Linked DNA regions of Astyanax mexicanus. The protein of the gene in region 4 interacts with the protein of the main gene of each other region in a pairwise test. Links are inferred from orthologs where the notes say so. Each region holds a gene or a part of one and is shown on either strand. Other genes may lie near its edges.

What was found.
Region 1: the proteins of appl2 (region 4) and rab5c interact in binary tests that used the Homo sapiens proteins (3 or more experiments, as listed by UniProt). The two-hybrid records come from large-scale screens. The link is inferred for Astyanax mexicanus from reciprocal best matches to the Homo sapiens genes APPL2 and RAB5C.
Region 2: the proteins of appl2 (region 4) and rab22a interact in binary tests that used the Homo sapiens proteins (3 or more experiments, as listed by UniProt). The two-hybrid records come from large-scale screens. The link is inferred for Astyanax mexicanus from reciprocal best matches to the Homo sapiens genes APPL2 and RAB22A.
Region 3: the proteins of appl2 (region 4) and cradd interact in binary tests that used the Homo sapiens proteins (3 or more experiments, as listed by UniProt). The two-hybrid records come from large-scale screens. The link is inferred for Astyanax mexicanus from reciprocal best matches to the Homo sapiens genes APPL2 and CRADD.

Annotation. Positions count from the first base shown.
Region 1 is NC_064426.1:26,224,217-26,231,737, reverse strand, and holds the start of rab5c (ras-related protein Rab-5C), read left to right. Parts: upstream 1-4,514; 5' UTR 4,515-4,683; intron 4,684-7,521. UniProt on the Homo sapiens protein: The small GTPases Rab are key regulators of intracellular membrane trafficking, from the formation of transport vesicles to their fusion with membranes.
Region 2 is NC_064412.1:55,114,434-55,121,858, reverse strand, and holds the start of rab22a (ras-related protein Rab-22A), read left to right. Parts: upstream 1-4,418; 5' UTR 4,419-4,807; coding exon 4,808-4,843; intron 4,844-6,314; coding exon 6,315-6,394; intron 6,395-7,279; coding exon 7,280-7,361; intron 7,362-7,425. Other genes in the region: ppp4r1l (serine/threonine-protein phosphatase 4 regulatory subunit 1), read right to left, coding at 108-214, 605-734, 1,260-1,304, 3,090-3,096. UniProt on the Homo sapiens protein: Plays a role in endocytosis and intracellular protein transport. Mediates trafficking of TF from early endosomes to recycling endosomes. Required for NGF-mediated endocytosis of NTRK1, and subsequent neurite outgrowth.
Region 3 is NC_064409.1:36,379,250-36,386,881, forward strand, and holds the start of cradd (death domain-containing protein CRADD), read left to right. Parts: upstream 1-4,625; 5' UTR 4,626-5,067; coding exon 5,068-5,386; intron 5,387-7,632. UniProt on the Homo sapiens protein: Adapter protein that associates with PIDD1 and the caspase CASP2 to form the PIDDosome, a complex that activates CASP2 and triggers apoptosis.
Region 4 is NC_064409.1:46,283,375-46,291,356, reverse strand, and holds the start of appl2 (DCC-interacting protein 13-beta), read right to left. Parts: upstream 3,019-7,982; 5' UTR 2,961-3,018; coding exon 2,907-2,960; intron 1-2,906. UniProt on the Homo sapiens protein: Multifunctional adapter protein that binds to various membrane receptors, nuclear factors and signaling proteins to regulate many processes, such as cell proliferation, immune response, endosomal trafficking and cell metabolism.

The DNA.
Region 1 (7,521 bases), on a different chromosome or scaffold from region 4:
CATCACCTCAGACAATGCAGACTGACTGGTCGTGAACTTAGAACCTATAGGTACAGCTGTATGAGTTATTCCAAACACATGAATAATTATCACAATCTCCTCAATTAAATGTTTCAAATGAAAAAAAAAAAGTTTGTAAAATTAAAACTACATGAATAAAAGTAAAAGTAACTATATGACTGTAGAACCTGCAGCTTTATCTGTTGTATAAGACACAGTGAATACCAGTAGTTTAAGACCCTCAATCAGTTGATTCAAGTGATTCAGGATTATAAAGGTAAAACTACATTAATAAAAGAAAAAAAACATTACCTTAGGCAATGTAGACTGACTGTTCTTGCCCTTAGTAACAACTACACAGCTGTATCAGACACAGGAATAGTTAATTTCCTCAATTAAATTATTTAAATGTTTGGGGTTCATCAATGTAAACGTGCTTGACTAAAAGTAAGTAACTACATGACCTCAGGCAATGTAAGCCAGGTACAGCTGTATCTGTTGTTTCAGCCACAAGGAATAGTTAATCTCCTCAATAAAATGATGAAGAGAACAAGGTTTTTTAAAAGTAAACTACATAAACAAAACTACAAGTAACAACATGACCTCAGGCAATAGGCTAACTATTTTTGACCATAGAAACAGCTACAGATACAGTTATTTAAGTTGTTTCAGATGTAGAAATAGTTAGTCTCTTCAATCAAATGAATCAAGTGAAGGTGATTTATAACGGAAAATATAAAATGAGTTATTCAGAAATATACACTATATGGACCAAATTATTGGGACACCAGGAGATGCATTGTTTCGTTCAAAATCAAGGTCTTTAATAAATAGTTTATTGTAACTATGAACTGTCTCTAATATCCATAAAAGGCTAGAATGAAATAGAATGAAAGTTGGCCCGCTGTTAAGCAGGTTTTTATAATGTGAGATTCAAAGTTTGAACGCTAGGTGTAAGAAACGGGCCAAAGAGTCTAAAAGCGGCGAGAGTGAAGTTGTAGCGCAGAAAAACGTGCCAAACAGTCTAAAAGCGGAGACAGTGCGCATTTCTAGCGCCGAAAAACGGGCCAAAGAGTCTAAAAGCGGAGAGGATGCGCAGTTGTAGCGAAGGAAAACGGGTCAAAGAGTCTAAAAGCGGAGAGAGTGCTCAGTTTTAGAGGAGAAACACTAGGGCTGGCCCGAATAGCGTTTTTTGAGCTCCGGATATTCGGCACTGATTCGAAGCGAATATTCGAATATTCGTTTTTAAAAAAAGAGGTAAAAAAAAAAAGCAAATCACGGCCCCTTTAATCCACTGAAAAATGTTCAATTTGCTCTGACCGACGAGACATATTCACCCCGGATTTTTGGTGTTTTTATCCCGGATTTTTGTGTTTTCACCCCATATTTTTTCTGTGTTTTTAGCCCAGATTTCTTTGTGTTTTCATCCCGGAATTTCTGCTGCCCCACACCGAGGCTGCTGCTGCACGGTTTCTCCGCTGCGCAAGCCAGCCCAGTAAATTGCTGTTTGTGTTTTCACACTTAGGCTATTTGCTTAAAAAAACAAACAAAAAAAACGTTTGTTCAGGAAGTATTTTATATTCTTAAACATTGTTGATTATATTAGAGGACAGTCATTGTAAACTGTACTTGGTCTATTTCAGTTAAAGGATTGTGCAGGGCATATTACTGATTTTGTATTTTTGCACTTGGGCTATAAGCTCAATATTAAATATTTCGTTTGTTTAGAAATTATTTTATATTTTTAAACCATGTTAAATTATATTAGAGTAGAGGAAAGTCATTGTTAATGACGTTATTGTACTTGGTCTATTTCGGTTTAAGGATTGTGCAGGGCATAGCCGTATTACTGATTTTGTATTTTTGCACTTGGGCTATAAGCTCAATATTAAATATTTCGTTTGCTTAGAAATTATTTTATATTTTTAAACCATTTTAAATTATATTAGATAAGAGGAAATTCGTTCAGACATCATTTTTGTAGGCCAGGCTTTTGTAACCGATTTAGCCCCTACTGTTGCCACATTACCCCTTACGTTTTATTATATAAATCAGTTTCGAAGAGCCTGCATTTTTTTTTATCATGTATAATAGAGGTCTGCGCGAGACTGATTTTTAAACCCACTCTTCCACGCTCCCGCGTTTCTGTCTCGTTACCGCTCCGCAAAAAAATTGCTTCTTTTAATCCCGCGCCCGCCCGCCACATACACATTTCTGCCGCTCCCGCCCCGCGTTCCTAATATAAATTAAATAAACTACATTTAATGCTTCAAATTTACTTATATATTTATTAAAACAGCAGCGCTGAATAGTGTGGTCCCGTTCCTTACCCCAGTCCAAACACCATCGGTGTGTGCGTGTGTGTCGGTCCATCCTGCGCGTTGAGAGTTTTCTTTAGGTTTTTTTTTTTACAATTATTACAGTTTTCTTAACTATTTATTAATTTGCTCCCGCATCGTCTGGATTAAACTCCCGCTCCAGCCAATAACAGTTCAGTTCTGTCCCGCGCGCAAGATATTCTGACGGGACCCGCGAGAACAGAAGTGGTTAGAGTGAGGTGGAACTCTGGAAAGGAGAAAAAAAACGAATATCCGAATACCAAAATTAAAAACCGAATACCTACTCAACGAACGAATATCCGAATACCCGAATATTCGGGTCCAGCCCTAAGAAACACGGGCCAAAAAGTCTAAAAGCGGAGAGGGTGCGCAGTTGTAGCACAGAAATCGGGCCAAAGAGTCTAAAAGCGGAGACAGTGCGCATTTCTAGCGCAGAAAAATGGGCCAAAGAGTCTAAAAGCGGAGAGGATGCGCAGTTGTAGCGCAAGAAAACGGGCCAAAGGGTCTAAAAGCGGAGAGAGTGCTCAGTTTTAGCGGAGAAAAACGGGCCAAAAAGTCTAAAAGCGAAGAGAGTGCTCAGTTTTAGCGCAGAAAAACGGGCCAAAGAGTCTAAAAGTTGCCGTAATTAAGGAGTTTAATATTAAGAGACCTCATGAAATGAAACATCAATTTGAAAAATCTTAGTTTACACAACACTGTCAAAGATAGATAAAGATAGTAAGTCAAGTAAAATGGTGTGTAAATGAAAGTAATGAGGAAAATGTATTATTTAAAGTGGTGTATTTCATTATTTGTTTTATTACAGAGTCTGTGGCCCGTGACTTCAAATATATTTCTTCTTTCTGGCCCCCAACAGAAAAAGTTTGAACACCCCTGCTTTAGGATGTTGGATGGTTGGATGGCTTTCCATCATTCAACACAGTTCCACTCTCCCACAGCTCAATCCTGGGGGCTTTATATTCCTCCACTTCATTTCTGGCATTTGGCATGATGTCAGTAAATTCAGAGAATTTTATTCTGTTTGGCAGTACTTTTCTACAGAGACTAGACATGCTGTATGGATGCACTTTCACATCTATGTCAAAAATGAGTGTTAGTAGCGTATATTTTACATACCAGAACTGTGGATGATATATTAAATTAAGGAAGCAGACTGTTACATAGAAGGATCAAGATATTAAATTGAGGGAACAATTGAGGGACTGGACTGTTAAAATGAGGTAGTGATTTAATAAATTTGTGGAGCAGTTTGTTTGGAAATTATTTATTAAATTAAGGGAGCACACTGTTAAAACGAAGAAACATGTTACTAAATTGAGGGAACAATTTATTGAACTTAGGGACTAAACTGTTAACATGAGGTAACAATTTATTAAATTGGTGGAGAAGTTTGCTTAGGAATGATCTATTAAAATTAGGTAATGATTTGTTAAATTGATGGAGTAGTTTTTTGGGAATAATTTATTAAATTAAGGGAGCAGACTGTTAAATCAAAGAAAGTTTTTTAAATAAAAGGATACAATTTATTAAAATAAGAAACTGGACTGCTAAAATGAGGTAACAATTTATTAAATTGGTGGAGCAGTTTGTTTGGGAATGATCTATTAAATTAAGGGAACTATTTTTTAAACTATGGGGCTAAACTGTTAAAATGGGGCAATGAATTATTAAATTTGTGGAGTGGTTTGTTTGGTAATGATCTATAAAATTAAAGGAACTATTAATAAAACTAGAGTAATTGGTTACCTAAATTAATGGAACGATTTTTTTAAATTGAGGGAACACCTTATTAAACTAAGGAAAAGAATGGGAAAATTTAAGGGAACACTTTTATTGTGTTAAACTGAAGGAGTCCGTAATTAACTAAATTGAGAAAACGATACAGATAAATGAATCACATAGGAATACAATTAGTATTTCAATAACTATAATACGACATACTTTTTACCTCATTTTACCTCAGGTGGGGAGGGGACGCCCAGTCAGTCAGTCATATCAGTCGAGGCTTTTAGAGGCATTAAGCCTAAAGTACAAGTAAATGTATCCTCAGTCTTTTATTTGACAATATTCAGAAAGAACTAAAATCATCCAAACTTCTGACTCTGAGGAAACACAAGCAACACTTCCCCTCTCTGTCTGCAGGTGAGTTGATCTGACTGGTGCTTCTCCCAGTCCGTCAGCAGTAAAAGTCCCTGCGCTCGGAAATAGGAGGATCGCTGAGGATCGCTGAAGTCGCGGAAGCGAATGCCGGCGGGGCCCGTGGTGAGAGAGGCAGCTTTGGGGCGGCGAGAGGCAGGAATTGCGCTCTGACCCTGAGTCAGTCTTCCGTGTGAGAGACTCTAAGGTAAATCCAGCACGTTTTTATTCAGTTAACAGCTTTTTTCTGGTCGACACTGTCGATGGCAGGTATTAAAACGTTGGTTAGACAGCTGAACGGTCATGTTTATCGCCTGTTAGCTTCTACGTTGCTGGCTAGCGTTAGCTTAACTCACTCCCCAGCCTGGAGTTTAATAAAAGCGTCTCCTGTCTATTTAGCTAAACCTACTCTCTTCTTGTGAGTACACGTATTAAAACTCTAACGCTAGTTTTACCAGTGACACCAGCTTAATTAGTTGGCTTATAGCTAAGCTTAGCTATCTTGATTAGCCTGTTGACATAACAACAAATTCAGAAGACTGTTAGCTAACGCTAGTTTAGCTAGCTAGCTTAGCCAGCTTAGCCAGTGAGTGGATTGGTGTCTGCAGGCAGCTTCTGCTTTTTCGAGCTTGTTGGCGTTGTTAATAAACATAGATACGTCCTCTATGTCGTATTCACTTATTAACTGTGTATTTGTGCGATTAAAACACATATTTAGTTGGTTTGGTTGTTTATTTGTCGCTAGTCGCCATTAAAAAAGCGTTTGCCCATTTAGCCTTTGGTCACTATTTTATGTGGACACTGTGTTGCTAGCATATCTAGCTTAGCTAACCATATCTAGCTAAAGCGACTATTAAGTAGAGGTGGATAAGCCAGCTTTAGAAAGTAAAAATCCATCCCAGGTTTTTGTACCAACTCCCTGGGCGGTTCAGCTGCAACAGAGCCGCCCAGGCAGTTGGTACAAAACTCTGGGAGGGATTCTTACTTTCTGGAGCTGGCTTACCCACCCCTTCTATTGAGGTAACGTTAGCGTTATGTTAGCTAGCTTAGCTATGCTTCTAAGAGAAAGCTTTTGCCTTTTATAGTTTGTTTGTTTGTAAGCATGTCGCTAATGTCATATATTTTAGAGGTTAATTGTGTTTCTAAACATGACAAAAAAGTCCTAAAAGTGAGCTTATGAGACATGGGTTTGTGTTGGGTAGGGTTCGCTAACTAGCTAACCCAACCTAACGTTATGTGATTATTGTTGGAGATGTGTTTGGGGTTAAGCTAGCTAGCTATTTAGCTATTTTGTTGCTGTAATTTAATAGCTAAGCTAAGCTTGTTAGTTAAGTTAGCCTAGTAAGTTGAGTTATACTCATCTTATGCAGCAGGATCAGAGCTCAAGTTTTAAATGTCCCATTTAACTAGCCAGCCAATCTGCTTAGCTTAGCTATCAAATGGAGGAGGAGTGGTCATGCACCTTAGTTAACCATTTCCATCTTAAGATACATTTTTAATCAAAGAGTCCATGTTCTTATGTTAAAGGGAAGCTCTAGTACTGGGAATATGTAAAATTAGGTGCGTGTCACACAGAAATCGAAAGTCAGCTAATTCTCAAGCTAAACCAGACCAGCCACAGTAGCTGGCTAGCCAGCTGAGTCATTGCTGTAGCCTTCACTTTGAGTTTCCTGTGGCCTACGCCTGTCTGAACTTGTCTCATAAAGTCAAATAACTGATATGAAGACCTGGTTTGTGGTCAGTCGTGTTAACTAGAGTTAGTAAGTGTTTTGGGCTGAGTCATAGTGATAAAAGGTTATACCACTGCCTCTGTTGGGTTGTTCTGATGGAGCTTCATTTTTTTTAATGCTGTTTCTTAACCTTTGATACCCAGTAAGGATTTAGCTATGTGACCTGACATAACACAAGGCTGACCATGTTATATAGCTAAGTTAGCACAGGGGTGGACTTTTGCTCTCTAGCATTTTCGAATAGGCTACACATGATGGTGTCTTGAGGTTGATCTTCGCATGTTTTTATCACTTTCACAGTGATGGTTTGACACCTCATGGCTGAAGCTGTGGCTTGACATGTGATGACTGATGTGGAGAGTAGTTTTTTCTCAGCTAAGAGCAGTTTCTAAAGGTTTATTTGTGGCTCAGGTAGTGCTGTGTGTTCTGGGCATATTGTTGATGTTAAGATTTGTATTGTATAGGGCCTTTTTATTTAAAAAACACTTGTACCTTACAGGACAGAACAATTGGATAATAAAATCAAACCCCTGACCCACTCAAATTCAATTCAGTTCAATTTTATTTATATAGAGGTTTTTACAACAAAAGTTGTCACAAAGCTGCTTTACAGAGAAAACAGGTCCATGCCTCTTGTGATTTGAGCACTACAGAGATGCCAATAATTGTGATGAAACCTTAAGTGGAACCAAGACCCGCTCAGTACAAACATATAACAACAAAACAACAGCACAGAGAGAACAGGGCATCTCAATACATGTGAAAGAGATGGTAAAGAAAATAGAAAGAGAAAAAAGCTGGAGGTTGTGTAATAATTCTGCTGAATAGAAGGACAGGGCTGAACCACAAATCGCCATCAAACACAGTATGATTTTCTAAGAACATAAACATAGGGCAACCAAAAACCTTTTTTTTATGTTTTTTTGATGATGTAAATCAGGACTCCAAGGTTAAAAAAATAAATCAATAATCCAATCAAAATCAGATTTCTAAAGTTATTGCCCACCTCTAACCCAAGCCAAGATTTTCTGCTGTTATCAAGCCTTCCATATCAATACACTATCTCTATCTGTGCAATATCAATACTGCCAAAGCCAGTATCATGACAATGATTAACTGTCAATAAATTTTGCACTACTACACTCCTAAAAATAAAGGTGCTTCACGTAGTTCTTTGAGCAGTGCCCTTAGAGAACCTCTTATTGTCCCATAAAGAACCACAGGATATATTCTTTAACTTTGTTAAAATGAGATAAACAAAAACATGTATTAAATTTACTTCCCTTTTTATGGCATAGTTTAAAGGACCAAATAGC
Region 2 (7,425 bases), on a different chromosome or scaffold from region 4:
TACTGCATTAGAGCTGTTTTGGTCAATTTATTTATTCAACTACATAGACTTATTGTTCCCACCGTACAAAAGATTTGTACATTTGTACAACATAAAAAGAGACATACCTGCATCCTCGGACATTCTGCCAACTGTCTCCATCACGCTGATGAAGTCATTCTCATCATCACTGAATTCTCGTAGCACATCTAATAACCCACGTGCAACAATTTGTCTAAGAAAAACACAGTAGAAAATAAGGAGATTAAAGCACTGTTTGAGACAAGGTCATTTATAGTCATAAACAGAGGACAGCCTGCTGTTCAGTGGCTTTTATTGGTTAAGTGCTTACACAGCTGTGCTGTGAACGTAAATTGCTGGTGGTCGGCTTGTTGTCTAATAAAGAGGTCTGTCTGAGGTCCACATTTGTGCTAGAGTGTTTTGTAGAGTTAATTTCTTTAATGACAAGGACATATCATTGTACAACTATTACAAAACTTTTAATGGAAGTCAGTGTAAAAAGATTGAATCTTTCTATTTCTATTTGTCCATTCCCCATATAAAAAAATGCCCAAATGTTTGGGAACCATATGTATGAGTATATAAACACACTACTGTCACTCACCTGTTGAAGACATTCTCACTGAAGGCATATTTTTCTAGCCGGCCCAGAGGAGTCAGGTTATCCTGCCCTGCATCCAGGAATGCTGTGATTCTAATACCATCACACTCAGAACCATAGTCGTCAAATCCAACTGCAACAAACAATAGATTGCTTCAGTTCAAGAACAGGATGTGGCCTTGTGTATCACTAAATTACACCAAAATAAACACTACAATCATCCCTACTATCACATTGCTCTATCAAATTATTTACCTTCACAAACATTTGCCAAATATTCAGTATTTATATAATTGCAGCCACACAAAACTCATGCATGTCTCAATGGGTAACTTTACACAAAACCTTGACACGATGTAGGAAACATTGTCATCACATCTGATCACAGTGTTAAATTATTGAAACTTTACTTCTTAAAATCTTTTTAACAATTTCATACTTTTTATAAGTAAAAATGCTATTAAGTCACAAATTAAGACATAATAACCCAAAGACATACTGTTAAATTACTTTATTTTCAAAGCAAATTATAATATTTCAGCAACCTGGTAGCTTCCTTTGAACTCAGTTTTTAGATATCAGCTAATTTAAATGGCATGTCACGAGTAACAAAAATCAGTTTTTGCTAAAAGAGCAAATCATGTGTATGAATACTTACAGTCATCTAGCTCATCATGACCATCTTCAAAATACAAAGATAGACCTGGAAAGAGCCAGAAAAAAAAAGCTGTTTAAAATATATTCAAACACAATTTAACTAAACTAATAACATACAAAAACATCTGTACTCTTGCAGCGAGTAAACATCCACAGTGCAGAAGTGTGGGTTTCACATGTCTTTTAGAGTTAAAGCAATAAACCAATGAAATGACATTTCTGTTTCTCTCAAGAAAGAATGGGCCAGTTTCCTAAGCATCTTAACATTAAAAACCTCTTAATGAGAATGCATGAGAAAGCGAGACAGAGCTCAGTGTGATGCCACCCCAGGTCAATGAAGGAATGCCACAGCCTATATAAATAATATTGCTATCCATGTGCATCCCTTCATGATCACTATAAAATTAAACAAATGAGGTGCATCTGAAGTGTAGTCTATCCTAAGAAGGTTTCAAATCAATTGTAATGGAATGCAAAGCCTAAATTATGAAGATTGTATCTCTGTCCACATATTTGTATTTTCTTACTAAATGTCAGCACATTTAAATCCTACATTTAGTTGTTTTTATGGTTTTAAAGCAAAAGAGAAAGCTTGGAACAGGAGCCGTAGCAACAGGAAGCAGGTAGAAATAATCATTGACGATTTAGACAAAATAAATATCAGATAAGTCTACTACCAAAATACTCTTTTGTAGCAACCCCATTATATTCCGATTCAAAGTATCAATATTCAATATTAACACGTGACTTGTAAAAATAGCATTAGAGATACAGGTTATGTGGTCCTGGTAATATGCTTAGCCTAACTTAGATCTGGAGATCTGATATTATCGTTACTAGTAAACATTTCACAGCTGATATATGAGATACAACTCTTTATTAATATATCCTAGTTTCATTACAGATATCTTTATTTAAGTTTTTACTAATGAAAACTGAGTTAATACAGAAGTTAACCAGCTAACATAAATACCTGACAGGTAAAAAGCACGCAGGAAACAGTCTGTCACATAGATGAATACAGCTAAAGGGTCTGTTCACATTGTTTTATTCTGTTTAGTGTTTAATTAACGAATATTTAACTAGTAATGCTAGTTTAATATGTTATACGTGTCCCAAACTTTACTCTATATTTTTTAAAGAATGGAAAAGAGCTTAGCTGAAGGATTTAACCAGATAAAGGCTTTGTTTTGCTTCTACGAGGGCGTTAGCTAGCTAAGCTAAGTAGAGGTGGGTAACGCAGGTCCAGAAAGTAAAAATCCATCCCAGGGTTTTGTACCAACTGCTTGGGCGGCCCTGCTGCAGCCAGAAGACTAGCTAGGCAGTTGGTACAAAACCCTGGGATGGATTTTTACTTTTTGGACCTGAGTTACCCACCTCTAAAGCTAGCTACCCTTTGGCATTCTGAGCACGATACTTAACTACAGTTAGCTAGGTTATTAATAAAATATGGATAAACATATATTAGCTATAAAACACAGGTAAATTTTAAAGTTACAGCGAACAGTTACATAAAACCCAACAAAAAACTGAACAATTCTGCGGCTAAACGTTAGCTAACCTAAGCTAAGCTAATCTATGCTAAGCTAAACTAAGCTAGGCTAGGCTAAGCTAGGCTAGGCTAGCTGTTCGCTACCGTGTTGGTCTAAAGCTTGGACTGGAAGCCCTCGTTAATCCACAGAAAAGGCGAGAAACGTCAGATTATTATTATTAATATACACGCTACATGGCCGTGTTATTAAACACGATTATATTTCGATATAATAACGATAGTAAATGATTTAAAAAAACAACAGAAACCTGAGGGAGGAAAGGAATTATTCCACATTACCTGCCATCTTGATGTACACTGTTCTGCTGCGGAGCTGTCATTCACCCCGCAGAGTAAAGCGCCTCCTGAAAATAATTCCTCCTGCTGGAACTCTTTAAACAGGGCTTTAAACATTTATCTAGTATTATTGTACAAAAAAACATGCATATATTTACAAAGAAGGATTGCAAGTAAAGAGAAAAAAGTACGGGTTCAACCAAAGAAGAAAAAATAAATAAATAAAACAAATATAAAGATTTAGGGTTTACATTCTAAAACATTATCTTCAGTTGGCAATGGGCTCCGTGGATAAAACAAAATCCTCAGGTAAATAATAGTGTCCATAATTGTCCCAAAAATGTAAAAAAAAAAAAAAAAAGATATTAGTATGTGCAGTGATATTAAAAGTGCTATTTAAACAATAATTTATTAAAGCAAGCATTTTATCTAACTTCATTATAAGTCTTAAGCCTGACTCAGTGCCTATTTTCACCTTCAGTAACTTTAGAAAAAATGAAATGCTCAAATAGCAAAAATGTGTTAAATTAACACCTTTTTAGTATTTTTTTTTTTTTTACATCTCTAATGCACTGTTAAAACAACATTGATCTGCAAGATTTATTCCACGTGATGGTTTTATATGTCTTGTTTGTATTAATGCTTATTTAACTTACATTAAATATGCATATCATGTAAGTGTAAAATTTAGAAAATCTAATAAAAATCTTCACATAATCTTTTTTAATCATAACAATCTATGAAAACAAAATACTCAAAACTAAGTATCTTCAGAAGATATATTACATTTAAATAGAATTGCAATCTTCAATGTAATCTTTAATGATCTGCATTTAATGATGTTTTTTGTTCAAAGATGGTTTTAAATTTTTATTTTAATTATAAAAAGACAGAATTTTTTTTAGAATTCTTTCTTCATGAATAGAATATTTTGTTAGTATAATAATAATAATCCATAGAGAACAACAGTATGTTGAATTAACTTCACAGAATTCACAGACGCAATGTTGATCTCCGACATTTATTCAATGTTGTTTTTAATTTGTCATGTTTAAAAATATTCAGTCATCTGACTAAAATAAAATAAAGTCAGAAGAATTGTCATAACAATCTTAAAATACTATTTTGCTAATAGTTACAACCTATGAAAACAGAAAATACATGTTATTGACAGTTTTTTATAACATATTTTCAATTAAGTAGATCTAATTTTGTGACTAGTAAATAAAAATAGCACGCTCCTAAAATAAGCAATAAAATGTTCTCAAAATGTAAAGAATTTCAACAAGCTTCTCAATTTTTATGGAACAGCCGATGTCACGTGACACACCAGCCATAACTCAAGGTGGCGCCTCCGGAGTTGTTCGCTGTGTAGCTGTTGGAGCTAATAGCGCAGCTAGCGTCAGTTCAGAGCGCTGATTTAACCGGTAGTTTACAGCGTTTTGAAGTCATAAAACCTTTTGCGGATTAAAGTTATTTTCTCTCTCCAGCTTTACATTCTGCAGGAAGGCGGGTACAATAAAACAGCGGGCAGACTTCCTGCCACATAGCTGTATAAACGCTGGCTATGCTAAGCTAACTGGCTAACACAGTTCAGTGTAGATAAGAGAAGTAGTTAGACAGCTAGCTTAGCTTAGCTTAGCCTAGCCTAGCCTAGCTCAGCTGACTGCTGTGAGCCGGACTGTAATGTTTAGGGACGCTTTATTATTTTGGGGATCGATATGTCTCTCCGAGAGCTGAAAGTCTGCCTGCTTGGGGTAAGATATTTATGTAGCGTTACATTTATTTATCGCTGTGTTTATGTTAATGTGTAGTTAGCATTAAAAGCTAATTCTTCTGCTGACTGTGTTCATATTATATTGCTGTCAACAGATCCACAGTAGAAGAAAACTAATATAGTTAACTAGTTATCTATACTGGTACTGAGTCTCTGTTTTTATTCACACATAAACTGTAACTTAGTTAAAACACAGTGTCAGATTTGCTATAATATAGGAGAGTTAAAAATTATCGTTTCAGTTAGAAATGTTGTGTAAATACTTCAGAAAAGTTAAGATTAGGGATTGAGCTGGGAGGTTAATCCAATTAATTTGATTAATAAAATGAACCGTTTTTTTTAAATTTAGTTATTTATAGGTTTATGTTTGAGTAAAATGAACATTGTTGTTTTTTATTCTACAAACCACGAATTTCTCCCAAATTCCAAGTAAAAATATTGTCATTTAGAGCATTTATTTGCAGAAAATGAGAAATGGCTGAAATACCAAATAAAGCAAATGATGCAAAGAAAACAAGTTTTTATCCATAAAGATTTAAGAGTCCAGAAATGAATATTTGGTGGAATAACCCTGGTTTTTGATCACAGTTTTCATGCATCTTGGCATCATGTTCTTCTCCACCCGTCTTACACACTGCTTTTGGATAACTTTATGCCACTCCTGGTACAAAAATGTAATCAGTTCAGCTTGGTTTGATGGCTTGTGATCATTCATCTTGCTCTTAATTATATTCCGTAGTTTTTTTTTTTACTGAGGTTCACCATTTTTAAGTGGTCTCTTTACTTCTTTTCGAGAGCTGTATAGAAGCTTTGTTTAATATAATAATATAAGAACTACATGTAAGGTTGAAGGGGTCTGCTTACTCTTCGTTAAAAAAAATAATAATTGAACTAAATGTAAAGAAAACAATAGCTTGCAATTTACAAATGGTGTTGTTTGTTATGTAAATTTTTGTTACAAAATTGCCAGATTCGAACAATATGGCAAAAATCTATATCATGTATATTTCTTAATTTCAGTAAATACAATATAGTTCCGATATCAATATGAACAGTATAAAATCCACCACCCATTGTGTACGTAATCACACACTGAGAACTGAGTGATAGTAAAAATATATCACAATATTTAAAGACTGTTTTTACAATATACATAATTTATAGTTATAGCTATATGAGTTAAAGTACAGATAAGCTCATTACCCTAGGTAAAAGTAAAAGTTCTCACATTAGACCTCCACTTAAGTAAAAGTTCAGAATTATTTGCCTTCAAGCCAAATACTGAGGTATTGAAAAGTGAAAGTATCACAATTTATGTTTAAGTTTCAGATTAAAGACTTGTTGTAATATATTGTAATTATTCATTTCTTACAACTTGATTAGCAATGTGTATTTTTGGTATAATTAAGTGATTTGTGATGAGTGAGTATTGTTGTTCCATTGTGTTGTAGGACACCGGTGTTGGAAAGTCGAGTATTGTGTGGAGATTTGTGGAGGATAGCTTTGATCCGAACATTAATCCTACAATTGGGTAAGCTTATCGCTACTTAAAGTGTTCATCTTCACTCACTAGTCATGTTGAATATATGATCACAGAATAGCAATTCTTTTTATTTATTTTCTGATGTGATGGAATTGTGTCTTTACTCAAAAGAAGCAGTAGAAAATAAGTATAATAAGTGTGTGTGTGTGTGTGTGTGTGTGTGTGTTGTGATTAATTTTTTTTTCTAAAATGAAGAAAATGTAAGAATACTGACTGGTATGGGTGTAACAGTACACATCAGTCACATTCATGCTGCGGTTTGACCTCCATGGATCAGTACTAATTTTGTACAACAGGAAATTATAATGTAATATATATATATATATATATATATATATATATATATATATATATATATATATATATATATATATATATATATATATATAATGTCAGTAGGGAATGACGATGAACGCTAGGCTCATATTCATTTTTACACTTTACTTACATAAGTTAAATGAAATGGCTTTTATCAGCTAAACGATATGAGCTGTAAAGGGCCTGTACAGTAAAAATAGCTAAGCTAATTATAGCATTTGATTGTTTACCAACAGACTTGCTTCGTTTCTCTGTGTAAATGTAATTTAGTTTGGCATACTGAGGAATTGAACATTCCCTGAATGCGTCTTCACTTCCTGTATTTATTGTTTCAAATGAAAAGCCTTTGGGCTGTCGTTGCAAAATGACTGTAGTGGAAACATATAAATGGTAAATAAGTTGCTCTCTTGCACAATTACGGTGATTAATGTGTACAGTGTATTCTTCATGTGACTGTATGCACCAACCCATGACATCCATATTGTGACAGTGAATATACCTAGAAACATACTGTTGACAGCAGAATTACTAATAGAACTTAACTTTTTTTTTTAGAGCATCATTTATGACGAAGACTGTGCAGTACCAAAATGAGCTCCATAAATTTCTCATCTGGGACACAGCAGGACAAGAGAGGGTAAGCAAATGCGTAATCCCTGCAAAAGTGTTGCTCACACTTTCACTTTCTATCTTCAGCTCAT
Region 3 (7,632 bases), about 9.9 Mb from region 4:
TATGTAAATATTATCTGAAGCTGCTGGCCCAGACCTGTTTAAATTTGTGCACTGCGGCCATATGACTGCTTAGTTAGATGGTGTACAGGTGATCCTAATATATTGCTTGTTGAATGCATAAATTATAGTACTCTCACTACACAATACAGATGTCTTTGCCTGTGAGGCACTAATATCAAATATTTGTTCTTTACTTCTGCCCACATTTTTAGGGTGCTGTTAAAGATAAAGGCTGCCAAAAAGGTTACTTATGCCATGCCATAGGAAAAGCACTTTTGCTTAGATAAAACAAACCTTTTAATTTTTAATAAAACGGTTTTGTGAAAGAGATGAGTGTTGAGAACCTTTTATAACAAACATTTAAATTTTACAGACTTCCATATAATAGTTAATAAATTTGACATTATGTGAAGGGTCCTAAAATCTTTAAAAGTTTATTTTCTCTTTGACACATCTTTTTAAAATGTGCGAACCAAAAGTTTTTTTTATGGCATTGCACAAGAACCCTTTGTGAACACCTTTTTGTTTTATGAGTCTGAAAATTGGCTACTGATCCGGATCTTAAATTATAATTGATTATAACTTTGTTTTGTTTTTGGCTGCTTTTTCCTGTCAGTATGTATGGTTGTGTTTCTGGAGAGACAAGGAGATTTCCAGTACAACACTCCCTTGTTTCACCAGCTTTTTACTGATAAGTGGTGTTGATTTGCGTTGGACTCCACACATGGCAGCATGTAGAACTTGCCCTTTTATGTTGATCAGTTACCACTTCTCGAAACCATGACCTGAGGAACCATTGCTTGAAAACCCAAAAGCTTAGATTAGCAGTAATGGCAGCTTCTACCAGTCGTGCTGGGACTCCCAGAGCTTTGTTTTCTTTTCTCCTCAACATGGCTTCTTTGAAGTGGTCTAAGCGGAAGAACGTATTGGCATCACCTGATCAGTCTGCTCTTTGAGCCTCTCGGTCATATCGGTCTTGAAAAAACTAACATGATACTGTTGTATACAATGGTGCTGAATTACAAGTAAATGTTTTTCTTTTTTTCATGAAGTGACAAATAAAAGAAAAAAGCTTCAGTTTCATAGGCTCTTTTTTATCTTGAGCCCTATTAAATATGAGGTTTCTAAATTCCCTAGAAAGACAATAGGGCATTTATTTTCTCTAAACGTTCGTGAGCATGTGTGTGTGTTGGAGGGAGAGAGACCTTCAATGATGGTTTTGTTTTGAGATGGGCTAGAATAGTGGCCCACTCATCCTCCAGTGTAAATGGATCCATGTCCGTTGAACCCAGATCCCTGACTAAGCCCTGCCGGGAACTGCTTCTAATGTGGCTGGTGTATATCTAGAACGGCTTTAGTGCCTTGAAACCGGTATGTGCTGCTGCAGTAGTTGCTTTCCTTTTTTTCCTAATACAAAATAGTCTATGCCTGTGCTTAATCTGTTTTGTGCTATGTGCAAACACATCAGAGCTGCAGGGGTTTTTAAAATATGATGTAGAGTGTATGTAGAGTGTATCTACTGGTTTAGTACAAGAAAGTAAATACTATTGTCAGCACTCAGAAAATGGTGCTGATCTTGTTGTTAGAGGTAAAAGCTTTAGGGGTGCTTCAGTGTCGTGTGGTCTTGAGGAAATCCAAACCTCATTAAAGCAAATGGGGTGTAATTAGTCTCACAAGTGCTCCATTACACCGGATTGATGGCACTGAAAGTTAAAGAGACATACAGGTGTCGGGTTTAGGGAAAGCAGCCCAAATGAATTCAGTGCAAGTAACGTAGAGCAGTTCACCAAAACCTCATCTAATATCCCTATCACCCCTCCCTCTGGGTTTTCAGAGAATCCTTTATCCTTCATTATGTTTGGATGATTTTATGTCCTTTACCATGGAGCTTTGCTGATTTTATTTGACATTTTATATTTATAATTCTTAAAAAAAAAAAACTGCCTGTAAAGCTTTTCTCATAATTATAGTATTAGTATACCCCTTTTACACCTGCTTCCTTTGTGTGTCATGAGTAATATTGGGATTCTGCTTGGATCAAGCCAAGCACACACAAGATCTAAAACATAAACATATTTAATCACTTAAACCAATCACCCAGCACATGAAACACCAGTAATATTTTCCATGCTACAAGCAAATCAGCATATTCTGTCGCACACAGCAATTACATTTCAGTCGGACTTAACATAGACACTTGTAACTACCCAGTGTAAATGGTTAAAATATTATCAGCACACAATACAACTACTAATCCTAATCATAAGGTGTCCAGGTCTAAACGGAGTCATCGTCTCTGAATTGACAGGGAAATGACAGACTAAACCTAAAAGCAAAAACTATAAAGGAAAAAAGTTTAGAGTTTTATTACATCAGAGTTACAAAGCAGCTTTACAGAAATCTGGGTCCAGAGTTAAAAGTGATACTGCACAGAGGGGATGTAACTGCACTGCAAAGAGAAAAAAGATAATCAGATGTGATATGAAAATTCACTTAAGTCTAAGAGAACCACTCAGTTTAATCTTAACAGACACATTTAATTTAGCAAATTTTGCCTCAAATAGGAACTAAATGAAAAACAGGATACGACGCAAATGGACAGATGATCCAGATGCCCTTATATAATAAACCCAAAATGCAAAACAGGCTAGACTAAAGATTTAAACTTTTAGTTCTTTGTAATGTGATTTATCATGTCAAAAACAACACTAGATGTTTACACAGACATACGAAAAAAAACATTTGTTTAAGATATGCCTATTAATTTAGTATTATTCATGTCAACAATGTCTGTCTAGTACAGAACAAAAATTAACTGAAGGACATTTTAGTTTAAAAAATGAGATCGTCATAAAGCAGAAAAGAAAGAAAAAAAGAAGAAATTGCAGATGCATATTAACAGTTTCTAGGGTAACAGTGAGAAAAATATATAAATACTTGGTAAGAGTGCCTTTGGGAAAACTTCAATTAACCAAAGTACACAAAAACAAAAAAAGTGAGGTTAGAGGAATTCTTCTGTAAACTGAAGGCAGAGACAGATAATCAAACATTTTTGAATATAATCCAGAATAACCTTTCCAATGGTTCAGAAAAAAAATATTAAAGACTATTTAACCATTTATAAGCAGGGATGGCATGACAGATAGAATGGAACAGAAATGTGCAGTGCAGGTAATTTAATCACTGATGGATAGATATGCACTAAAAATAGGGAGATTTAATTGTGTGAACAGAACACACGTCTTCAGGATTAGCCAAATAAAATTTACATGCTGTCTCTGACAGCTGCTGACATACCAACGCTCATTTCATGCAAATTCACTTCATATCCTGGAACAACTGTGTCAGCAACAGCAATAGTAATGCTAAAAATGAACAAAGAATATGCACACATACATCTACAAGCAGCAATTATTGGGGGTAAATCTTAATTGTATTGCCAAATGTTACCCAAACTCTTGCCTGTAGAACATAATTAGGCTTTTCAGTCATTTAAGGTATTACCTTCATGTGTATCTTAAGGCAGCAGAAACCCTTGTTTGTCAAACTTTAATACAGTTGTATAAAAAAAACTCTTGTTCAAATAATGTCATTTATAAATGTAAAGTCATATATTTATATTCTAAATACTGATACAGATGTTTTCATATACAAAATTACCACTTTAAAATAAGGCTTCTTTATTGAGGGGTTTCTAATGTTATTAATTAGGTTAGTAAACAGCTAGATCCTTATTTTACTTTGTCTTTTCCATCAGTCAGCATTAACATTTATGTTAATAATTTTATTCATTTAACTATGATAACATATTAAATTACTTAACTTACATTTTATTTTTTATTAGATATGTTAAACTGTTTTTCTTATTATTTGTGTTGTAAGTGCTTATTAATGTTTTAAAGTATTTACCACTTTATTTATAGCCATTAATAAACCCCTTCATAATATATTTATGAACCCTTTATAAAGGAGCCTTATTTTAAAGTGGTACCAAAAATGTTTTACTTTATCAGTCACATTACCCTTGGTTCTGGACAAAATCCTTGTGAACTGTAAACAGAAACATTTTAGAAAACAGCATTCATTAGGTTAACGGTGGCTTATTTTACTACTACTCTTTTTTTTTAATCAAAATGTACTTTTTATTTTGACTCAATTTTAATAGCGTTCCAATTAAAATTTCCACGATTCTGGTAAGTGAATTAATTTTTACTATGAAATAAACTTAACTTTTCATTAATAAAGGTTATGCTATAAATACTGCATAGTTGTTTAGTCTTATCATTACATTTTATTACGTTTTAAATATGAGTTTTAGTTAGCAAAATAGCCACAAAGCTAGCTAGAAATTCCCTACAATTTGTGGCACAATTTTCATTAAGGTTTCTGGTTGGTTCTACTATTTGACTGTATGATAAACTCTCCTCATAAACCACTGCTATTTTTTAAATAGTCATATAATTTTCGTGTTTCCTGAAAAACGTTTAGACGCTTATTTTTATAGGAAGGTGTTGATATTAGATTCTGACTAAAATCGTATTTCTTGGTAATGACACCTTTCTCTTATTTTTCAGGCCGCATGTCCACCAGAACCTCTTCAACATTTGTTTAATTTTCGCTTTAACAAACACGTCTAGATAAATAACAGAAGACACAGTAATGGCTGAGTGTGAGGAGCAGTTATTATGATATAAAAAAAAGTTAAACAAATGTTAAAAAAATTAAGTTAAAAAAATTAAAAACAGTGTAGACAGATGTGTGAACTAAACTTCAGTTCCCGGGTTTCGTTTCTAGTCGGTGCCAAATGATGCAACAAGAGGAAACGGTGGAGTACGGAGCCCCGATAATAACAATAACAGACCTATAAAACACAGAGTACAGGTTTAAATGTGGGGTTATGAGTCCGGCAGGTCGGGTTTTGGGTGAGTATTTCTGTTGGACCTGTGGCGAAGGGTGGCCGTGTTTGTGCCCCGCTGCTGAGCTCCAGCCTGCGTTAGCCGGATTAGCAGAGGTGCTAACAGCAGCCCTGAACTCCACCAGCCCGAAACTAACGATATCAGTGCAGCCATGGACCCGAAACACAGAGAGATACTCCGCGCGAACACACTGCCGCTCTGCGAGCAGCTGATCGTGGACGACACGGTCATTCAGTTCCTGTACCAGGAGGACATTTTAACAGAGAGCCAGGTGGAGGAGATCCAGTCACAGCCCTCCAACAAGCTGAAGACCCTCAGGCTGCTCAGTGTCCTGCCCAGCCGGGGTCCCCGCGCCTTCAGCGGCTTCCTCACAGCCCTGCAGCGCGACTTCCCCTGGATCAGAGACGAGCTGCTGCTGCAGCAATCAGGAGGAGGAGAACAGGACAGCGCGACCCTGTCCCCCTCCACAGGTCTGTCTCTCTCTATCTCTCTTTCTCTCTCTCTCTGTGTTTCTGAGGTGTAGTGGCTGCTGTACACACAGGCACAGGGCGAGGTGTACGTTAACTCGCTAACCGGAGAGTGTGGAGGTAACTAGTTTTATTCAACAGCTCTGGAAAACATGGAGGAGATGAACTGAACTCGCTGACCCAGAAGTTCAGGTTGCTCGTTTTCCCCTTCCAATGAAAAAACAACACTAGTCTGGAGTTACAGTCAGTGAGTGATAAGGTGGTGGGCTCAGGTTTCCCACAGCTCTAGACTCTATAGACAGTTCTTTCCTTCTTCTGAAGTGTCCTCACACCTTAGGAGTGACAGTGCTAATATAACTTTGTAGCTAGCTATCTAAAATAACTAATAGTGCCATGCAGTAGTAAATTTAGTTAATAAAGGCTATAGTTTAGCCTTACTATTGAGGTTTATTAAAAAACAAAATTCTGTATTTCAGTCAGCAAAATCAGCTGTAAGGTCTGTAAAGCTGGCTAGCTTGCAGTTCACTACAATTTGTTGCAAACTGTTAAAATAGAATTGTTTCAGGAGTTAAGATTGGCCCAGGGAGTTGTAACAGAGGTTTTTAAAAGGGTGTCCAAACCTCAGATGATTTCATTTTTGTTGTTGTACTGCAAAAGTCAGTTACGTAGTAATGCCATAGGTGAATGAGCTGCCCTGTTCTTTTACAACGATTTCTATCACAAACACAACAGTGCTGGGAGGTATACCGTTTTATTCGGTATACCGGAGGGGAAAATTAAAACCAGTATGCATTTTCACCTACTTGTAGAGGAGCTGCGGAGTGCTGTGTGGAACAGCACTGCTAAAGAAGCACATACAGCATAACAAACTAACACATGGGAATAACTGTAGCTCAGTTCTGTGGAGTCAAATGCTCTGTCCTACACGGGAAAAAAAATGAGAACAGCTCTTTATCTAAAGAGCTCCTGTTGCAATGTGAGTGTTTTTATGTGAGTTAAATAGAAAAGCAACAGTAAACAGCAATTATTCACTCAGAAAGAGAAGAATGGAATTACACAAACCATTCACAGCTTATTTATTTTGTTTATTTAGCACAAGTGATAAAACTCCTTAAACACTGGATACGAGGTGCAAAAACATTTCAAGAGCAGTAACTATAGCCCTGTTTAAATACATTAATACTGTAGCTTGAAGGATAATATTAATGCACATTAAATTGAATGCATTTGTTAACTGGAGAAAGAAGGAAATAATCTGTGGCTTATTTTAATACTGTAATGCCTCTAATGGCTTCAATAATAACAAATTGTAAATTGATATTAAACCTCTGTCTAACTTGTTCTATAGAACATTTGAAAAATGTCTCTTTAAATACTTCAATCAAAGCCTTTATTTAAAGCCTTAGTGTTTTATATTATATGTACTCCTAACAGCACAGCAAGTCACACACCAATATTAAAGCCCAGTCATGCAAAATAAAAAAATTATTAACAAATTTGTGAAATACCGTGAAACCGCCATAATCTAGTTGGAAAGGAGGCTCTTCTACCCCGATAGGTTGCCTCTAGCATGGATACAAGATGAGATACACTTGGGCATAGAGGCAAACAGGGTCTGTATGGCATCCTGCGGCACAGTTGCTCAGCTGGGCCTGTAGATCCTGTACACTTTATAGGTTGCCAAAGCTGACTGCCCAGCTGGTCCTGTAAATGCTTGATTGATAAATTAGGCAGTGTGTTGGAGTGAAGTGGTTCAATCCTTGCTGTGTGTGAGTGAGCACTGTCCTGCTGAAAAATGACATGCTATTCTGCCATTCTGCCATGAAAGACAATGTGTGGTTGCAGGAGGATGTACTGACATATCACTAACATGTTATTGTAACTCGTATCACCTCTTGAAGTGACAAACTTGTAGTATGTGCTGGCTTCTGATAATCACACCAGCAGTTGGGGCAGTGTTTCGCTCTACAGCAAAAGCAGGATTGAAGCTCTCATTGCAAGGCAGGTTTCTTGATCACAACACTCCTGTTATAACGACTGGCCTAAGGACATCCTAAAGTTTGTCGGCTGGGCAAAATGTCCTTGATTGTGTTATAGAACCATGTCTGTTAGTCTCTCACCAAGAGGTACACTACTCAAAAGTAGACTCTTTTCACAGAGAGCAGGAAAATTATTTTAACACCTTTGCCAAGAACTTGTGTCTGTTCAGATCACACCTTCAGTCCTTTACACTTCTGCCTGAGACATGC
Region 4 (7,982 bases):
TTATCTTGTAGATTTTATTTATCAGAATGTATCTTATGTATTGTTCTTTTTTTAGCTTAGCTTCAGTGCATGAAGTTGGCATCAAGTTGACAATAGAGTGTATACACTGACAGGTGGTGGACCTGTGGATAATCTGTCATGGTTGGTGGGCTAGTGTCACCATATGTATAAAATATCTTCACCTACAAGAAACTTTTCCATGTTTCCCCAGTATAAAAATGCTGTGTGTGTCCCAACAATTCAAATGAAGCAGGAACTGTACATTTGAATCCAGTTTTCCAAACAAAATCCTGCTAAAGTGCTGCAGGTTTCAACTACAACACAAATCTAACACAACCAATTCAGCTCACCATGAAAGTGTGAAGCTAGTAATGAATTGGATCAGGAGAAGTGGATTAGGGTTGGATCCAAAGTCTGCGGGAGGGCAGCTCTCCAGGAACAGGGTTGAAACCAGTAGTGTTACATGTAATTGTTCCTTATCACATAATGGGAATGCCACTAGTTTCATGTTTTGACCTTTCGAAAAGTGTGCTGCTATATAAAATGTTGCAATATCCTAAACAAATAAAACTTGTTCATGTTAACAGGCTCTCTTTTTTGCTAATAAAAATGAAACGTGCAATACTGAGCTCAGCAAAGCTTACTGAGGTCTCGTCTATACATTGTATGCTACGTTGTTAATGTAATTAGCTGCTTGTAGGATAAGTGTCAAGTTCCAGAGCTATGCAGGGGAAAGTGATCTTGCTCTGGCCAGGGGCAGAAAGTAAGAACGAGGCTGACTAACTCTAAGGCTGGCTGACAAGGGCTCAGCTACAAATGAGCCACAAGTCATTCAGATCAAGCTATGTGAACCTAGATATCACTTCACATGGAAAGTCAAACGAAGAACTGAGGAGGAAACTTCAAAACCCCAAACATGTCTTGTCTTGGTTGATCAAGCACATTAGAAGTAAAAGAAAAAGTGTATAAACTTTCGCTTTAAAGCTGCCAAACATTCAGAGCAGGAAAACACCTTCACTCAGATCTAGCTTTGTTATTCACATATCACACATTTCTCTTCTTGAGATGTCCTTTTTGTGAAGTCAAAAGAGATCAGGCTTCAATCTAAAAGTATTACTGGCAAGGGAAAGGGATCTCAATACCTAATAAAGGATGCATACATTGTAAGTAATGATGATTCCTGAGTGCTGCTGATTCCTGAGGTAAAAGACCTGCATTTAACTGAACTGTTTTGTTCCATTTTCTAAAAAAAATCCTTCCAAAGTATTATAAATAATAATGGACAGAAATATTTATTATTAAGATTTTTTATCTGCTCTCTCAAAATAATCTAAAGCATGCAGTAAATAATACACACATTTCAGAATGTGTGTATCATTTACAAAATACAAAATTACTTACTAAAAGACTTATTATGATACAGAGCAAAGAATATATGACTTCATCCCTGAAAATGAATATCACGGTATTCCAGGTGCAGGTGCATACTGTGCAGCTCTACTGGAAAAAAACAATAAACAAACCCATTTAACTCCAAAAATCTGTGACTTCTGTAACATTCTATGGTTTTATACATAACTAAACAAGAAGTCTTAACAACACAAGCTTACACTTATTTTAAAATTTCATTTTAAGCTATTTTCCAGCATTGTTATAAGAACATATTTTGATATATTAACAATTTAATTTGCTATCTGAATAGGTGACAGCTTTAACATCGTGCAGCCTATATATATATACAGCTCTGGAATAATTTAAGAGACCACTTCAGTTTCTGAATTAGTTTCTCTTATTTTGCTATTTATATGTATATGTTTGAGTAAAATAAACATTGTTGTTTTATTCTTTAAACTACAGACAACATTTCTTCAAAATTACAAATAAAAATATTGTCATTTAAAGCATTTATTTGCAGAAAATGAGAAATGGCTGAAATAACAAAAAAGATGCCGAGCTTTCAGACCTCAAATAATGCAAAGGAAACATATTCATATTCATAAAGTTTTAAGAGTTCAGAAATTAATATTTGGTGGAATAACCCTGGTTTTTAATCACAGTTTTCGTGCATCTTGGCATGTTCTCCTCCAACAGTCTTACACACTGCTTTTGGGTAACTTTAAGCCACTCCTCAAAATTTCAAGCAGTTCAGTTTGATGGCTTGTGATCATCCATCTTCCTCTTAATTATATTTCAGAGGTTTTCAATTTGGTAAAAGGGAAAACATAATTTTACATAACATAATGTTACAGAGCTGTAACGTTATAGTCTGGATCAGCGTGTATCTGACAGTCAGGCTCTCAGAGTCAGACACTCTAGCTAGGTAAACTAACATACACTGAACACATCCAGTTAATCAGGCCCCTCCCAGAGTGGACCTCAGCAGGCCCTGTTATTCCAGACTGACTGCAGGCTAAACTCACTCTTTTCTGTACTGAAACGTCCTATAAACGACTCAACATGGCGGTTAAACGCTGTGTTATGTGCTCTGAGTCTGCTCGTTAGTAGCAGCTCGCTGCTAAAGTCGTATCCGCTGGTTATTAAACAGCTGAGATGCGGGATGTGTCCGCTCGCCTCCGTGGCCTTTTTACTCCTGAAATAACACAGAGACCCGAGCTGCTGTTCAATAATGTAGCTGTTCCTGCCGCTCTCCTCTTCACCACACAGCCCTGCTCTCTGCTTTAAACAGACACCAGCCTGTTTTATAGCGGATAAAATTAAACAGTGAAGCGCTGGTCGAGCTGCGTGAGCGCTCATCACTGAGATCCTGCTGTTCTGGGTGAAAAACGGGATCAACAGTTCGCGAAGACTACAGATAAACACACAGCCTAGCCTCCAATACAGCGGGTACAACAGCGAATAGCACCTCTAACACAGCACCTGCTGCAGCACAGCCGCGCTCAGCCTACCTGTGGACTGTCCTGCAGGGCTTCCTCCAGGAGTAGTTTATGAACGGCCGGCATCTTGCTCTTTACAAGTAAGTGATGGTGCTAGAATTATTGGAGCTGTGTGGACTCGCTTTCCCGGTGTGCACTGCGCGACCGGGCATCACTGAGCCACGCCCCCGCGACGGTAGGTAATAATGCTAGTTAATGATGTAGGTTAGATTAGACAAGCAAGCTGAACTCTTCACACGTTTTAATGCTTAAGCGACGTTGATTTATGAAGACATGTAAGTGAAATTACCTCAAATTACATTTTTAGCGTTTTATTCACACCTATGCTCATGTTTAACACTCACACTAGAAAAAGCCTCTCCGTTTAAAGCTGAATGTGATCCGGCAGCGCCCCACACTGGACGAGGCTGAGTGATACTGAAAGATTATCGAAGCCTGCTCCGTCTTTACCTTTACTGGACATTTCTGTGTCCTCCTCACAGGGACGGACTGAGACCAGTCCCCAGGACGGCCCTGTACTTTTTATTACCTCAATTATAAGTTCTTACAGGTCTTTAGAAATGAATAGGGTCCCTGATTTCACACTAATAAAGCATTATGTCGTTGCCATTTGTTGCGGTAATGAGCTGTGGGCGGGGTTATGCTAATTTCAACGAGCAGGACTTCTTGGTACTGTGTTTATTGGAGCCTGCTTTCTTCATGTGCAGTAGTGTATTTGTACATTTATTTCACCTAAATAGACTTATTTTTATTTTGGTGGCTGTTTTTTTTTTAACACCTACAGTATTTGATGGAATTTAGGAAAACATTTATTACCTCTGCCACATGTTTGGCAAAGAGTGATACTGTGTTGAATGGCAGTATGTTTTCATGAAATTGTTACTCTGTAACCTTTTGTCTGACATATCTGACAATATCTCACCAAAATATGCTTGATTATCTTGTTAAAAAGTGATTGTTTGTTTATTAGTTTGATTCTATTTGCAATTGCACCGTTTAATCCTCCAACCTTTTAAGCTTTATTATTAAAAATAAAAAAACGGATAAATCAACTTTGGTTAATCACAGCCTTTGACACAGATACAGGTTTCAGGTGGTTACAAAATCTCAAAAAGGTTTAATTTTACTATGTGGAGGTTTTTCCCAGATCCCATCACATCCTAGTGCATTTCAAAAATATATATAGAATTGAAAGGTTACTTTATTTCAGTAATTAAGTATTTCAGTAACACGTGAAACTCATGTATTATATAGATATATTGCACTCAGAGTGATCTATTTTAAGCGTTTATGTCTTTTATTGTTGATGATTATGGATTACAGCCAATGAAATGTAAAATTTCTGATGATCAGTAAAGGTTTGGAGAGCCACGTTATCTGCTGGTGTTGATCCACTGTGTTACATCAAGTCCAAAGTCAGTGCAGTGTTTTCCCGGAAAATCTTACAGCAATTCATGCTTCCCATTGTTGAAAACTTTATGAAAATGCGGATTTAATTTTCCAGCAGGATTTGGCACACTGCCCACACTGCCAAAAGCACCAATTGGTCTTATATAATATTCAAATTTTCTGAGACACTGATTTTTTGGTTTTCATTGGCTGTAAGCCATAATCATCAGCAATACTAGTGCAATTTTTGAAATTAACTAGTATAATAGCCTATTAGGTCTATTCTGTGTAATTATTAGCCTGCACTTTTAGACCTACACGCTTGACAAATGGACAATTTATCATATTAGCGCCCTCAGTTGTTGTTAGTTGCTAGACTAAATAAATTCTGGTTATTGAAATGAAGGCCGTTCTGGACTTTCCCAGAACTCACAGTCCGTCCCAGTCCGTCCCTGTCTCCTTGTGGCTCATCATGATTCAGTGCAAGAAAATAAATCTCATTATTAGGTAATAAGTGAAGCAAGGAAACATTCTACAAGTGCAGCTGGAGTTTAGAAAAAATGTAAGTGATAATGATATATTCTCTATTTTAATTTTGTATATTGTGTTTTTAAGTTTTTAACTACTCACCTGTAAACCTGTGCTAATGTGATGTGACCAGAAATCTTATTCAGCATCAATATTAGACTAATGTGTAAAGCAGCATGGTAATGTAAATATACATATATTATCTTAAACTGTGTTATATTTAAATGTATATATTTTTAATAGTGATATTAACTCAGAATTAGATATATAAAAGTATGTGTAAATGAATAAAAAGTCCTTACAGGCCTTCAGAAATTAATAAGGTCTCTGATTTCACGCAAATACTATACTGTGTCTTTGCCACTTGTTGCAGCAATGAGCTGTGGGTGGGGTTATGCTAATTGCGGAGAGCAGGAATTCTGGGTACCGTGTTTATTTGGGATAATATTGCTTCGTTTTGGCGTGTTTTTCAACATTATATTTCTCAATTACGTGTTTTTTATGCGTCTTGGTTGCAGAGTGCATTAGTAAAGGTTGCTTTAGTACAGGGTACTCTGGGTTAATCACCATTTTCTGGAACACTGTCACCTTTAGTGATATAACGTCATGGTTTAACATGTTGGGTATGGTTGTTGTCTGGTTTTTGCTTGTAAGTGGTGGATAGTCTTGTAGTTGTAAAGTTGTTCTGATTGGCAGACGTGTTTGTATCTGCGTAAGATATTAAATGGTGTGTGTAGTGTTTTTGTAGTGTAGTTGCTGAAGATTAGATTAGGTGTTGATGTTTCGTGTTCTACTCATTTGCAGCCACTGCAATTTAATTTAACACATGTAGGTGCTGTGAGTTTAAAGCACTATTGTTTTTCAGTGTAGGTGATTCATTTGTTTACTCCCTGAAGCTCAGTCAGGAAAAGTAGCATTCTGTTTAGCTCAAAGTTAGCAAGCAGAATGTATTAGCTAACTAGAAATCATTCTGTTGATTGAAAATAATGGATGCAGATGTTTTGCAAAAGCAATGAAAAGCAGAGATTCTAAGCTTTACTATGATTCACTGACCCTGACTTACGGGACCAGTATAGTTTCAGATAAACTGATGGATATACACAATGAACGATTTATGGCCTGCTGGTGGGCTCAGGCAACAGATTAATAAAAAGAAGCCATATGTAATTGCTAGTTTAGCAGGGCATGTACATATGAGAAATCAGCATTAAAAAATGCAAAAAAAAAAGTACATTTTATTTGCAATATACTTTGTTTTTTCATTGCTTAATATGAGTCTTTAAACACTACCATTGTAGTGCACTGTTTCTCTAATTGGGATTGGTTGAGAACTGACCTGCACCTCCTGAGAACAGAATCAGTAGAAACTAAGCATTGGCTAATTTTCTTACCTAATTTATGTGTTCCATCATAAGAATGATTCACAATCACAATCCAGTGTCTCCTTTTATTAAATTGCTGTTTATGCCAGTAATTCTGTGTATGACAGTCAGTTTAAATGATGTCCTATAGTTTCTTCCTTAATAATAGCAAAGCTGTTTAGTCTGAGACCAAAACTACGCTCTGTGAAAACCAAGAGGACACAGAGGCCTCTAAATACTGTGTTTGAATATATACATACAGTGTGTACAGTGTTGTGTAACCAGTGTGTAATAATGTATATCTTTACTGAACTGCATACTGAATTCTCATACACTGACTGAAGTAAGATATAGATTGTCTGCCTCTAATATAGTATATAGTATGTAAAGTATAGTATATAGTGTGTATAGAAATGCTGGTACTTTAAATGGCACATTGTCACAAGTAGGACTGTGTATTGGCAAGGACTTGGCAATATGATATGTATCACAATACAGTGGTTACAGATTAATATATATCACAATATATTGTGATACTGTAAGCAAGGCAAAAATATATTTGAAAACTGTCAATATAAATTTTTATAAAATCTGGGAAAAATGGGAAATAAAGTAATTTTAAAAAATCAATAAAATAAATGTGTTTTTAAGAATATAACAATATGGAGCTTTTTTATCGTCTTACTTTTTTGCAATATTATTGCGTTTGAAATAATATTGCACACTGCTAATGCACAGTAACAAAACGAGCCTGCTGTATTGTAAGGGTTAACGATACATAGATAAATTAACTAAAAGTATCAGTTGGGTTTTACAGATCCAGTAAAAATGTAGGATATGGTCACTCTAGGTTCCCTTTATGTTGTAGTTGTGTGTTGTTATGGTTCAACTCTCTCTCTCTCTCTCTCTCTCTCTCTGTCTCTCTCTCTCTGGCACATATTCATCTGTGCAGTGTACGGTCTATCTGTGAGTGGAGTATGCTGCCAGATAATGGTATAATGTGCTCGCTTCCAAGTTGGCCGTCTCATCCTCTCATCCTCGCTGTGACTACAACAACAAGCAGCTCTTTGTTTATACCTGAATCTGCACTACTCGTGATCTGATCCAAGTAATTCATTACACCGCGAGACCAAAACATCCTCCTCCTCAGCCAATCCACCAAAACCCTTCTCTTTGTGTTCCGCCAGCTTTGATTGCCATATTTCAACACAAAAACGAGCTGATATCATGTTAAGAGTCACGTGTAATGGTTTTCCAGCTCCCTTTTATGGACAAGTGCTGCTGCTGTTGGAAATAGAAAACCCCATGCTGTGCTTTTTTTCTAGCACTGCAGACACGTCTTTATTGAGATAAATTTGACAGATGATGATCTGCAAGTCTGTGCTTTATAATGTTGATGTTTTTAATCACTAAAGGGCGAAAGCATCTTCTTAAATACAGTATGAAGACAATAACCACTATTGATTCTTAATATAAAAAAAACTGCAAATAATGGTCCTTTTCCCATTTTAACCGGTTTAACCGACCATGCTTTAGATTAATTCTTGCAAAACTACATTACAGTTCCAATGTACATCAATTCAATAGGCCCTAAAATAGAACCTTATGGGACTCCACATAATACACTGCACTAAACAGTTACAGTGGAAAAAATAATTATTTGATCCTCTGCTTAATTTGATCCCATTTAACCCAAAGACATGAACAGCCTATCAATTTTATATTACGTTTATTTTAACAGAGATAGACAGAATAGCAACAAAAAATACAGCACAGAAACTTCAAATGTAGGTTATAAATAAATGTGTTT